Oryzias latipes: one gene and its partners. The protein of the gene in region 2 interacts with the protein of the main gene of each other region in a pairwise test. Links are inferred from orthologs where the notes say so. Each region holds a gene or a part of one and is shown on either strand. Other genes may lie near its edges.

What was found. The genes of interacting proteins can lie anywhere in the genome.
Region 1: the proteins of stac3 (region 2) and c17h1orf35 interact in binary tests that used the Homo sapiens proteins (3 or more experiments, as listed by UniProt). The two-hybrid records come from large-scale screens. The link is inferred for Oryzias latipes from reciprocal best matches to the Homo sapiens genes STAC3 and C1orf35.
Region 3: the proteins of stac3 (region 2) and eaf1 interact in binary tests that used the Homo sapiens proteins (3 or more experiments, as listed by UniProt). The two-hybrid records come from large-scale screens. The link is inferred for Oryzias latipes from reciprocal best matches to the Homo sapiens genes STAC3 and EAF1.

Annotation. Positions count from the first base shown.
Region 1 is NC_019875.2:27,890,663-27,894,715, reverse strand, and holds the start of c17h1orf35 (multiple myeloma tumor-associated protein 2), read right to left. Parts: upstream 2,850-4,053; 5' UTR 2,395-2,849; coding exon 2,298-2,394; intron 2,180-2,297; coding exon of another isoform or gene 2,158-2,179; exon of another isoform or gene 1,858-2,157; intron 1,213-1,857; exon of another isoform or gene 1,179-1,212; coding exon 1,028-1,178; intron 937-1,027; coding exon 891-936; intron 815-890; coding exon 732-814; intron 363-731; coding exon 290-362; intron 1-289. Other genes in the region: guanylate kinase, read left to right, coding at 2,957-2,990.
Region 2 is NC_019865.2:7,551,746-7,555,740, forward strand, and holds the start of stac3 (SH3 and cysteine-rich domain-containing protein 3), read right to left. Parts: upstream 2,816-3,995; 5' UTR 2,508-2,815; intron 1,854-2,507; 5' UTR 1,821-1,853; coding exon 1,813-1,820; intron 1,375-1,812; coding exon 1,296-1,374; intron 1,026-1,295; coding exon 869-1,025; intron 721-868; coding exon 623-720; intron 453-622; coding exon 392-452; intron 81-391; coding exon 1-80. UniProt on the Homo sapiens protein: Required for normal excitation-contraction coupling in skeletal muscle and for normal muscle contraction in response to membrane depolarization. Required for normal Ca(2+) release from the sarcplasmic reticulum, which ultimately leads to muscle contraction.
Region 3 is NC_019874.2:26,172,676-26,176,845, forward strand, and holds the start of eaf1 (ELL-associated factor 1), read right to left. Parts: upstream 2,850-4,170; 5' UTR 2,704-2,849; coding exon 2,601-2,703; intron 1,252-2,600; coding exon 1,157-1,251; intron 822-1,156; coding exon 685-821; intron 558-684; coding exon 385-557; intron 226-384; coding exon 4-225; intron 1-3. Other genes in the region: mettl6 (methyltransferase-like protein 6), read left to right, coding at 3,299-3,571, 3,965-4,099. UniProt on the Homo sapiens protein: Acts as a transcriptional transactivator of ELL and ELL2 elongation activities.

The DNA.
Region 1 (4,053 bases), on a different chromosome or scaffold from region 2:
GAGTATTTCTTAGGGTTAAGTATAAAAAAATTACAATATATATATAAAAAAAACAAATTTGTAAGTTTAAGTGATTCATATTTAATCATATAGTCCTGAATCGACTCATTCTTTTTGCCATACTCAACCCTCGTCAATATTGCTAAATAACTAATGCTAATAAAGTCAATAGTTAAAAAATTAAAAATCAAACACATATTTACTACTAATTTTTGACAATTAAAAAATGCTGTTTTAATACAATAATGTTTCCAAATGGCAGTATGGATGATGTAGAAAGACGACTTACTGTAAAAATTTGCAGACCCATTTTAGCCGCCTCCTTTTCCTTTTGGGACAGCACCATTTTTCGTGACCCTGCACTTTAGAGGGAAATAAAGATGGAGTCAACTTAAACAAACCACAGACAGCCAGTCACCTTATCTCCTCTGAACAGAAGGTTGAATTCTGCCAAACCTAAAACTGCAAAGAAAAGTCATGAAATATCCAAGAATATTATTCACCAGCAACCTGATTAACAAATCATTTGACTCATTTTAGTGTATAAACTAGAAAAAAAAAAACTATTAACAAACTCCCATTTGTCATTTGGACAATTAAACATAACTTCTGTACATTTGTTCAAGCAAATTGCATTTATAATAAGAAAAAGAAAAGTTGAAATTTTCCTAAAGCAAACATTTTGCATAAAAAAAATCTGTTTTATGACACAGACAAGAAGATAATCTCACCTTGAGCTTCCTAAACCTGAGATACGATCCACATCCTTCTCTTCACCATCAACCTCTTCTCTCCGGCATACCTCTACAAGATCCTGAAAAAAAAAATCAAATTCAACTTACAGGACTTGACAGCAATTTTTCCAATATTGACCAGCAACGTATCCATACCTCTTTAGTAAGCCCTGTTGGTTGTCTCTTTATATTCTTATGGCCTCTAAGTTCAGAACAAGAAACGCAAAGCATCACTTTTTGTGTCCTAATCTTCAAGAAGGTACAGGAAATGGCTTATGGGAAGTCGCACGTACAGGGCAGCCATCAGTGCCTCCTCCTCTGCAGCTCTGACTGCAGCAAGCTCCTCTTCTTTGGACAAAGGAGCACCACCTTTCTTGTCCTTTGCATACCAGGTCAGATCTTTCCCTTTCTGCCATCGTCCTACGGGAGCCATCAAGGAGTTTCCTGGAAAAAACGCAGAAGAGGTCAAACTATTTAGGTAAAGGTTCTTCTTTAAATTCTACATTTCAAATGCCACAAATTCAGAATACAAAATGTATTATGCAGGATTGTTATACTTTATATTTAGACTTTTTCTTTTATCTAGATGTTTTAATGTTTTGCACCAAATAATCATTTCAATAAATCTATTTGACTTTTAAAGATGATCATGGTTACACACATTTAAATGAAAATATTAGCAGTCCAGACTTCTCCAGTAGATGTATCCTTTTGCATTTTCCCCCATAAAGGTTCAAGTGTAAGAATCAAATTAGAATAGAATAGAATAGAATAGAATGGCTTTATTGTCATTGTGCATAGTACAATGAGATTTAAGCATCACCATCAGTGCAAGAACAGTAAGGAAGGGAAAAGTAGTAAAGATAACATTGTAATATAATAAAATCAAACAAGCAAACAAACAAACAGTATATACAAGTGTGCAATATAAGCTGTAAAATTGATATCAGATCAATGTTTTAAACTTCCTCCAGCTGAGTAAACTTTGTCTTTTAGAATATCTCATTATAGACAAGTGCAGTCTTGTTGTTAGACTGTTTTTTTAATTCCAAGTATTTAGGCAATCCACACATAAGGCAACAGTCTCCTGCCATGTTAAGGGTGGGTGTTTTGAGCCTCATTTCTGTTTGACTTTGCACCTGAAAGGTTGTGGTTTTAGCTCATATTTTACACAGACAACATTCAGAAATCTAAGCAGCTATGAGAGCTTGTCGATTTGCTTTTGTTACATGTTTCTCGGTCCCGACTACTGTGGTGATCACTACGTAGCTCTCTCTGGGCATGCTGACCCGCTGGCAGCGGCGAGGGCACAGAGACAACGAACGTGTCGACCAGAGGAGGCATTGACAGCACGTTTTTGCTTTCTTTACGGAGATTAATCGGGATTGATATCAAGCTATTAGATCAAGCCAAGCCTTGTGTAATGAGGAATTCAATAACAAAAGGTAGGAAAACAACCTAATTTTAGGGGGGCCACACGGGGTTTAAAAGCATCTGGAGCTAATCTTTCCTGGATGTGTGGCACGCGCTGATAGCGTAATCGACTGCACGTTATGGACTTACCGAGATAATTCTCTCTGTGTTTATCGACCTTCACTTCATCCCAGTTGAACTGGTCTTGGCCTCCACGGATGCCTCCGGATCTCGATGAACCAAACATCTTCAAAAGGGCAAAAAAGTGGAGATTCGGGGGGGAAAAGTAACACTTAGCTAGCTAGCTAGCAGCTACGTTGGTTAGCAGAGCTGCGTGGTCGGTGCGGGCCGTTAGCGTGGACTCATCCAGGAAGTTTAGATTCCCAGTTTCCACGAAAGAAACCCACACGGCTGCGTTTGTTTCGACAGCAACTTCCAAACAAACAAACAACCCAACAACGCGACAAAGAGCAGAGCGTTAAAGCTGGACTCTCGCGCGCGCAGCTTAAAGTTGCAAAGACCCAACAAACAATTTTTTTATTTAAGTAAAAAATTTAAAACGGTAGATTTGTAATCCTCAGCAATAAAGATCTGACTACTGCAAATAGAAGCAATACAACTTTTTTCCCGACTAACGAGCATTTCCTGCTCCTTTTGTTTATTTCATTTGGTCGCGTCCAGTGGCGCGCGCGGACGTAACGTGTTTGGGTACGTAGTGATGACGTAGGCGTCTCGCGGTGAGGAAAAGGGCGGCGGAGGCAGAAAATGCTCCGAGGACCGTCTGCAGAATCAGAAAAACCTGCCTCCCGATGTACATGAGACATTTTATCAGACTGTTTTCAGGTAGGAATGAGGATTTTTGACTTCCTTTCCTCCTTCTGCTGTTCTGTTCTCTTTTTCCCATCTCTGTGTCGGAACCACTATTCATTCCTGGAGACACTTTGTTGTCACGGAGCTACAGGAAAAGATGGTGCCCAAGAAGTCAACCGGTGTTTTATTTTATTTCAGGATGCATATAAATCCTAGATGGATGATACAACTTTTGATAGTAGCATAAAAACGTCCAGTATCATCTATTTTGTTTAATGTCAACTTAAATTAGGAAACCCTTTGTAAAATGTAATTTGGGAGAAAAATTACATCACTAACAAAATTGTCTTTCTTTTTTCTTCTTCTTTTTTAAAAATATTTATAAGATATCCAGTTTGCTTATTCATGCAAATTAATGCATTTTCTACCATTTGTCACTAAAAATGTGCATTTTGAAGAATTAGAATATAAGCTTATATCTGTGAGATGTTACATACCTTGCAATATTAAAAAAAAAACAAAAAAAAACATTTAAGTTGGAACCAATTTTTTAGGTTTTGGTTTACTGAAAAGTCTGATAATCTGTTGAGCATTTTTAAATGGTATTTATTCGGAGCAAAACAACATTGGTGCAGTTTGACACAACAGACATTTAACATATTATATTTTTAACCAACCAGTGAGATACTAAAGAAATAAATTAACAGAAAACCGTCAAACCCAAGAGATAAAATCAGTTTATTACTTTGCCACAATAATATCTACATTCAAGTAAACAGGACATCTGTAATGCAATACATGTGTATTTTCTGTGTGTTTTCTTAAGGATAATCAATTGATCTTCTCTTAGAACATGTACTTAACATTGATTGATAACATCTCATTTTAATCAATTTTATATAAAAAACAAACATTTTCTGTCAATTTTTTACGTAAAATGTTCTCATTGAATTAATGAAAGTTGTGTTTTGATTTGGTTAAATCACTAGTTATGTGTTAACAGTGTTTAACCAAACTGTCATGTAAACTGAAATGTAGATTAAAAAAATGTCCAATAGAATTTGACAGTGACGCTCAGCCTTTCTGGTTCACGGAG
Region 2 (3,995 bases):
ATTCTTTTTGCGCTCCTTGTTTGCCATTATGACGCCCACTCTCAGGGTGTCAAAGACGGGGTCATTCCGGTTTGGATTATCTGGTGGAATGCAAAATTATTGAGCTGAATCAATAATTTATCTATTTAATTTTGACTGCTTGATAGTAATATTTAAAAAGACTAGTAATGCAGAAGCCTACAGTCCAGGTTAGATGTCACCTTTGAAGATGTAATCTAATTTTTATGCTAAGCCAAAAGGAGATTTTCTGTACAAACTGGTGTAATTTTTCTTTATTTCAATTATATTGTTGAATCAGCTACAGCAATTTTCCAACACAAGTAACTTTCTTTTTTTCAAAATAGTGATTATGATAATCATGTCTATTTTGAGCTAACTTTTCTGGACTCACTTGGATCGGGTTGGTCACTGCCATACAAAGGGGAGCTGTAAGCTCTTCTAAATCCAGGTGGCTAGAAACACAAAAATAAAAAATAAAATATTCATAAGAGTTTATAGCCTTTGAATTATAAAACACAATAATCTGAGTTTGCACAGATTTTATTGACTGTCTATCTATTTGACTGCATATTCTTTGATATCAGTGTAAAATATAACATTTTTTATGATGAATAAAACTCACAATTTTGCCAAAACACTTCTGGAACTCGACATAGGATTGGCATGAATGGTGGATATTGGTTTTGCAGTTTTTACACCTCAGACAAAACTTGTTGTTCACTGCAAGATGTGCAAATGAAAAACAGTAAAAGTCACACATCATTTTGATGTAGAAAATAGCATCACTATGAAAAGTCAATCTAAACACATTTCTTTGGGAAATTTAACAGGACTGGTTGTGTATTTGCGTATCCTGGTGAGCACATACAGACTATCATGCGAGCACAGACATCGCAGAACTTAGGTTTCTTGCAGTAGTGATCCTTGAATTTGTGGGGTTTGTCATTGATCCGAAGAATGGGTTCCGGGGGAGGTTCTGGTTCCTTTTCCTCCACTTCAACTTCCTCTTCATATATGAAGTAGACCTTGAGAAATAGCAGAAACAGCTTAGGCAGAAAATGTGAAACATGTTAAGGGTGGTGTTCATAAAGAATCTCGATTTGTATGAGTCAGAGTTTTGGCAATGAAACAAACTGTCTAGACTACATGTATAAAACTATCTTCAGGGAAATCTAAATCTGAGGTCATATTTTCAGAATTGACAGTGGACTGCAGCCTTGTTCCAACTGGTGGCTATTTTAAACATCCTGGGAATGGCCCTAATGGTGGGTGGTTGGCATGGTGCTGTCACTCACTGTGTCTCCCTCCTCCCTCACTACATTGTCAGGGACTGGAGGATTGTCATGAATATCCACAGAGTTTTTGTCATCCTCCCTGAGATAAATAAACGTGGAAAAAACTATAAGCTGCCGAAGCCACGGATTGGGAAAAAAACACAATTTTGGAATTAATAAATAAAACTCAAAGGTTTACTACTGGTGCATGTTTATTCAGCAATGACACTAAAGGAGAACTTACTGAACTTATTTTACCATGACAGACTAGGGAAAAAAAAACAAGCATCATGGAAACCATGTAATCAGAAGAAAAATCTACTCCAAGTTACAAAAGACACTCGTCTTAAACGATACAATTTTATAAAATAACTTCAGTTAATTATTTTATAGAAATTAATAGGTAGACTTTGACCTCATTGCAAAAAAGATCTCTAATAGTATCACTTATCAAGTTGAGTTTTAAGTTAATTGATAACTAACAAGCTTATAACATTTTGACACTGACGGAACAAATGATGAGTGGATCTGTACTCACTGATCCATGATGCAATGCAGACAAAGTCAACACTTTCCAACCTAGAAATAATGGAACAACGTTTGACATGGGGTTGATTGACTTAAAATTTAGAATTTCTAAATGATTTCAATAAAATAAAAACTTTGGTTTATAAAATATTATATTTTATGTACATCTGAAAGGACCTCTTTTCTTTTTTAATTGTGAGAGTTCATATAATCACTCCCTTACGTTTCTATGTTTAGGATTTTATGACTGCCAGTGTTTAAAAATAGACAAATGCCAATGTAAAATGTATTTAGCCACAGATTTACTTTCGCATGTTTATATTAACCAACCTACAATTTCACACAGCAAAAGTTGAAATATCAAATACAGAAAGAAATTTTTTGTAAAAAAACAAAACAAAACAAATATGCTTCATTATTTTGTGTTTGACAGTGTAACTTGGATTTTGCAAATTGTCACCTACAGCTTTACCCAAACTCTTTTTGGGTTTTGAAATCTCATAATTGCTAAATTTTGGATTTTTTTCTAGTCAGGAAAAAAAACGTAACGAAATCCAAGCTATCATCTTGAACAAAATTGTTTTAAATAAACCACACAGATTTTAAGAGTGGTGAACAATTCACTTAACAAATTTAATCTACTTACAGAACAGAAACAGAAATGGTTATTAACAGGCATTGTTTATATATGCAATGGTAGCCTACCTTAAGTGAAAGACCACGGAGGAAGTTACAAATCCAGTATATTGTCAAAACTCTATGGTGGGTCTTGAGCAAAAGACGATGACTGGTGTGGCGTACGATCTGTGCTACTGACTCCAACAAAGCAGCCGCCCAAAATGTCCTGTCAGTTCAGGCCTTTTGGCCTTTGGTCCCCTATTTGTGGTTTCTTGATATTCGCTTCAGAGGATTTTACACTTTGAATGTAACCTCACTAAAGTAATATATATTTACATATGCCAATATACAAAATAGTGTAAAGGGACTGGAAAGATCTAACTATTTATGGATGCCCAAGTGTGTGTATTTTTGTGCATGGCAGGCTTGGCATTACTGAGTGAACTTGACAGTTTGCAACAGCTGAGTATCTCTCACTAAGCCTGAGTCGGGAGGAAAAGGGGATACACACACTCCCCCCTATCTATCTATCTATCTATCTATCTATCTATCTATCTATCTATCTATCTATCTATCTATCTATCTATCTATGTATATAGATAGATATAGATCTTTATATCTATATCTATCTATATACATATCTCTATATGTATGTCTATGAAGACTCTCATTCATCCAGGTTGGTTCCATTGTAGTAGGTTTAGGGGATGTCATCTGGACTTGGTTTTAAAGTTTAAAATCTCTCTACATATCTATATCTCTATATATCTAGATATATAGATATGTAGATGCATATATATCTATATAGATATAGATATAAATGGATATATAGATATATATGCAGTGTCCTCTGTCAGGACGCTCCAACCTGCGCTAGACAAGCGTTACAAAGGTCCCGTTGCATTTTGGGTACAATATTCCTGACGCGCTGAGTGCGCATGCCCAAAAGAAAACTCCATTATTATTTTTTTTTCTTTTTTCTTTTGCTTGGAATTTGTAAGAAAAAGGGAAAGAAAAAAAACACAAGGAGCAAATGTGAATTTGGGATCACATAGGTCGTTATGGTTGTTGAATTGAATGTGAATTCCACACGGTTCAGCAGAACGGAGACTAAAAGCAACGGCCGGATCGTTGTGGACGGGGAGCGGGACATCCCTCGGTTTTGCTGGGACTCTCCAGAACCAAGTAAATTTCAGTCCTTTAGCTTTGCTAACTAGCATAGCTCGTAGCGGTTACCCAGGAACTCAAGCGCAGTGAAATGAAGCGCTACTGCTCTTTGTTTTTAAACCTGACGGTCAGACGTTGCGTAAATCTTGATAGCTGGTTAACATCGCTAATTCGTGAATTAGATTATGTAATGGTTAAAGTCTCGCTTAATTGTTGAAAGTACCAACCATTTTCAAAACATTCACTGGCTAGTCGCCTTGCTAACTAGCTAACTTGATTCACCCGCGATCCAAAAGCGGAGACTTCAAAACTTAGCCAACACGGAGCTTAATGCAAAAAAGGTTAATCAGCATTTGTTGTTTGTTGTGGCTACCTCCTCTAACGGATATCTGTAAGTAAGTGAATCAT
Region 3 (4,170 bases), on a different chromosome or scaffold from region 2:
CACGAAGTGTGTTCATGAGCTGGTTGTTGCCCTGCTGGCGCTCCATCCCTCCGTTGGCCATGGGGTTGCGGCTGGGGGAGTTCTGGCTGAGCGGCCGGGGAGCATCGCCCTCGCCGTCGCTGCTGCTGCTGTCGTCGCCGCTCCCCGAGGAGCTGGCTGAGTCTGAGGAGCTGCTGCTGCCGCTGCTGCTCATCTGTTCAATCATCTCCACCTCTGCCCGCAGCTCTGTCGACAGCAGCAAGATCAGCATTTCATATTTCAAGGTCTTGTCTTTTTTTGTACTCACATTTGTCCAAATGTTTTTCATTCTTTGTCATCTTTAGCAGGGTTTTTTCTGAGAAATCATGACTTTGTAAAACACCAACAGTGCAGGAACCTCCTCACCTCTCTTAATGTCGTCCAGCTGAGGCTCTGGAGAGGGGTTGTCCTTAGATGGGGATGGGGATGTTTTGATCCCAGTTCCCGGCTTGGTTGGGGCTCGGAACTGAGAGCCGGGCTGGCTGGAACGAACCGACTGCTGCTCAATCCGAGCCTGGATCTTACTGCTGCCCTCCGCTCTGTTCGCACAGATACATACATCAGCCAACTTTTCCTCATCTTGAGCAATTTAAAGATCTTATAGACAATACACATCTACTACCCAAAGTCAGCAGGACTCTGGAAACCAGGACACTGACATCCCACCTTGTTTTCTTAACCTGGATGCTGCTGCTGAGCTTCTCCAGTACAAATTCGCCCGTGTCATGATTAATGATGAGCACGCAATCCTTTTGATACGGTCGCTTGTTTCCTTTAAATACTGTCATTGGAGGTGTGGAGCCCTGAAAGACAAAGAACAGGTAGTTGCAGTTTTATGTATTTAAAGCTTGGAAAAGGGCCCTTTTAGAAGGTTACATCAAAATCAAAAAAACTACATCATCTTGTTCAAGAGCAGTGTTATAGTGAAGATAAACAGACTTTTTCAGTCACAATTCTAGGATACATTCAGAACATAATTTTTTTAGACACATGATTGCTTAGATTTTTTGACTGCACTGTGACTGATCAAAACAGCTGTCAGACCTTTTTGTGACAGAAAACATGAGTCAGCAGAGATCAGGCAGATCATGATGTGCATGCATCTCTGACCAGATTGTTAAAAAGAGGAAAGCCTTACTGGAATATGAGGTAACGTTATTGTAACTTCATCTCCTTTTCCGACCTGTAGCTTCCCTTCACAGCTGGTGTCAATCGATGCTGGTTTGAAGTCATCTGGAAATGAAATGTATCGAGTCAAATTTGTGTTCTCCCTGATTGCCTATTTTTTTATTTAGAGGGAAACACCGTGAACTGGCATTCACACATATATGGAATTATAATTACAGTTGGAGAATAACTACCTGGAAGGGAAAAACAACCAAAATACAAAAAAGCAATTACAGTAATTTCATACTAGCATAAGATGAAAAAAATAATGTGGGTTGTTTTCCCTGGCTGCATTTGTAATTCTATCAACTATAATAAATGAGATAAAATGCTAATTTAATACAGATAATTTTTTGTTCTGTACAAAACAAATTGAATATGTTTTATAACACTATAAATCAATTGCATTCAAAGTTTGAATTTAACATGACCACTTTCTCCGGAGAATGCCCCAAGGTGACTTTTACTGAGATCTAAAAGTGAACTAATGAGTAAATGGAATACTGTGACGCGGGGAGGTCAGTGTTTAAAATAGGACATCACATGCATCATAAAACCCTTTTACTACAACAGCTCTGTAACACGGATGGTTTCTCTCCCAAGTCCAGCCAAAGTCTATTTTGACACACAAGTTCAAAATACAACACAGGCTTTGACTCAAAGCAATTGAATCGTTTCTTTTTTTTGCATTTCTATTTTAATTTTTGTTTACATTTTTCAAACTGTCTTCACATAACTGGTCATGGAAACAATATGATTGAACCTGAGTGAATAACAGTATGAATTTTTTTAATAAAAGTAAACAGAAAAGCTTTTTAGTGTAAATAAAATGCAATTCCAAGCCTAGGCGTCACAATAAAAGTGTTTTGGTATCAATAATAAATCCTATATTGTGAAACATCTACTTCAAACATCTACTTCAATAAAGCAACACGAATCCTCTGAGAAAAACTGGATATCTCTAAATACCACACTGAACAAGAAACACGATGAAGACTATAAACCGTTGTCCCTGCATCCAGTTGTTTTATTCAGCATTTATGCCCCAACAATCCAGATTGTGTTTATTACAACAGATAGGATCTGCATTTTATTTTGAAGGAGAATTTCAATTGCCACTCCATGTGGAGCTGGAGGCTAAAAAATGAGTCCTGGTTGGAGGCAAATATAAAAAACTTGTTTCTCACAAAAAATTAGATAAACTTTGGTGTAGTAAAATAAGTATTGGGTAGTTAATAGCATAAAGTGTAAAAGCTCAACCAAAAAAACAAACTGCTTTTATCTTCAAATGACTGAAAAGTATTGAAGAGAGTCTTGGAGAGAGAGCCTCTACATTTACAGCAGATAACCAGCCGCACTCCAGAGTTTGTTAAGAACTTAAAGGTCTTGTAAACACAACGCGGTCTCACGCTCACATCGGATGGTGTGAAAGGAAGATTTTGGCCTCTTCTCAAAGCTTTCTCCGAGCTTCAAAACATGCTCCTCTTTGTCCAGCAGCGGGTTTGTACTACCGTTCATGGTTCAGTTTGTCTAAAAGTCTAACATTTACGTATATTGGTAATAAGAAGTGAGCTAACAGTCGCAACTGGGAAGAAACAGGATAATCCAACTGGAAGATAAAACTAGCTGCAGAAGCTAACAGTTAGCAAAACATCCCTGACGTCACTGTGCTCTCTTTTGATTTTGGTTCGACTATGAACTACCTCTAAGATCAGACGGCGGCAAAAACTGTGATAAAACTTGGTTGTCTTATTAAATGATAATTTGCATTTAGATTAGTTTTTTATCAAACAGAATTATTTTAGTACATTTTAGTTTCATAAACAATTTATATAAAAAGCCAGATGGCAACGCGGAATGCAATTACGTGCACTCATCGGAAGGATTTCGTGAACGTACACAACAGAGGAAATGAAAAGAATTGTTTGAAATTGAAGTAGGGTTTTTTATTGTAGATTTAGCTTATTCAACCTTTTATTTTATATTGTTTTATTGAAAACGTAATAAACTGCATAAATGTTCAGGAATAACAACTGAAAATGTCGTAAATTAATGACTTTGTACAAAGAAAGACGGAAAAAAATCTCCAAAAACTTTAAAGCAGCGTGGAAATATGATGAACCGAGCCGAAGATACCGAGTCTACGGACGACACACCAACATGCCTGTCCGGACAAACGAAAACATCTTCCTCCAGAGATTTAACCCAGGAGGAGCAGGGTAGATTCAAAACTGAGCGAGTTCTTGTATCTGAGTTCAAACAAATAAAACTGGAGAAAGAAGCTCGAAAAAACTGGGACTTGTTTTACAAAAGAAACGCCACAAATTTCTTCAAAGACAGACACTGGACAACCAGGGAATTTGAAGAACTCAAAGAGTGTCGTGAGGTAAGATTACTTTTATACATGGACTTACCAGTCTTCATCTGTTTCTATTTCTTGTTTTATACTCACAAAATAAATAATCTTCTATTTAACATGTAGAACATTCTATCTATCAAATAGGGATTTCTTTCTTCTTCTTCAGATTATTTATAAATGTTAAATTATCTAGTAATTACGCCATTTTTTAAAACCCTAAATCATATATTAATTAATAAATTAAAATATATTAATATGAATAATATATTCACATTAATTACTTAAATGTAATATTAAAATATTAAACTATACTCTATTTATGCTTCTTTAAAGTTTAAGATGCTGAAAAATATTGTAGGTCAGATGGCCAAACAAGCTTATTAAACTAATGTCCAGTTATTCTTGTGCTTTGCTTCACAGTTTGAGTCCCAGAAGTTGGTTTTGTTGGAAGCTGGCTGCGGCGTGGGAAACTGCCTCTTTCCTTTGCTGGAGGACGACCTCAACATATTTGTTTACGCCTGTGACTTCTCCCCACGAGCTGTTGAGTTTGTAAAAGTGAGGCATTTCCCACAACAACTTTGTTCTTATTATAATGTCTTTATAAGCCTTGTCCTATATTTTCTTCC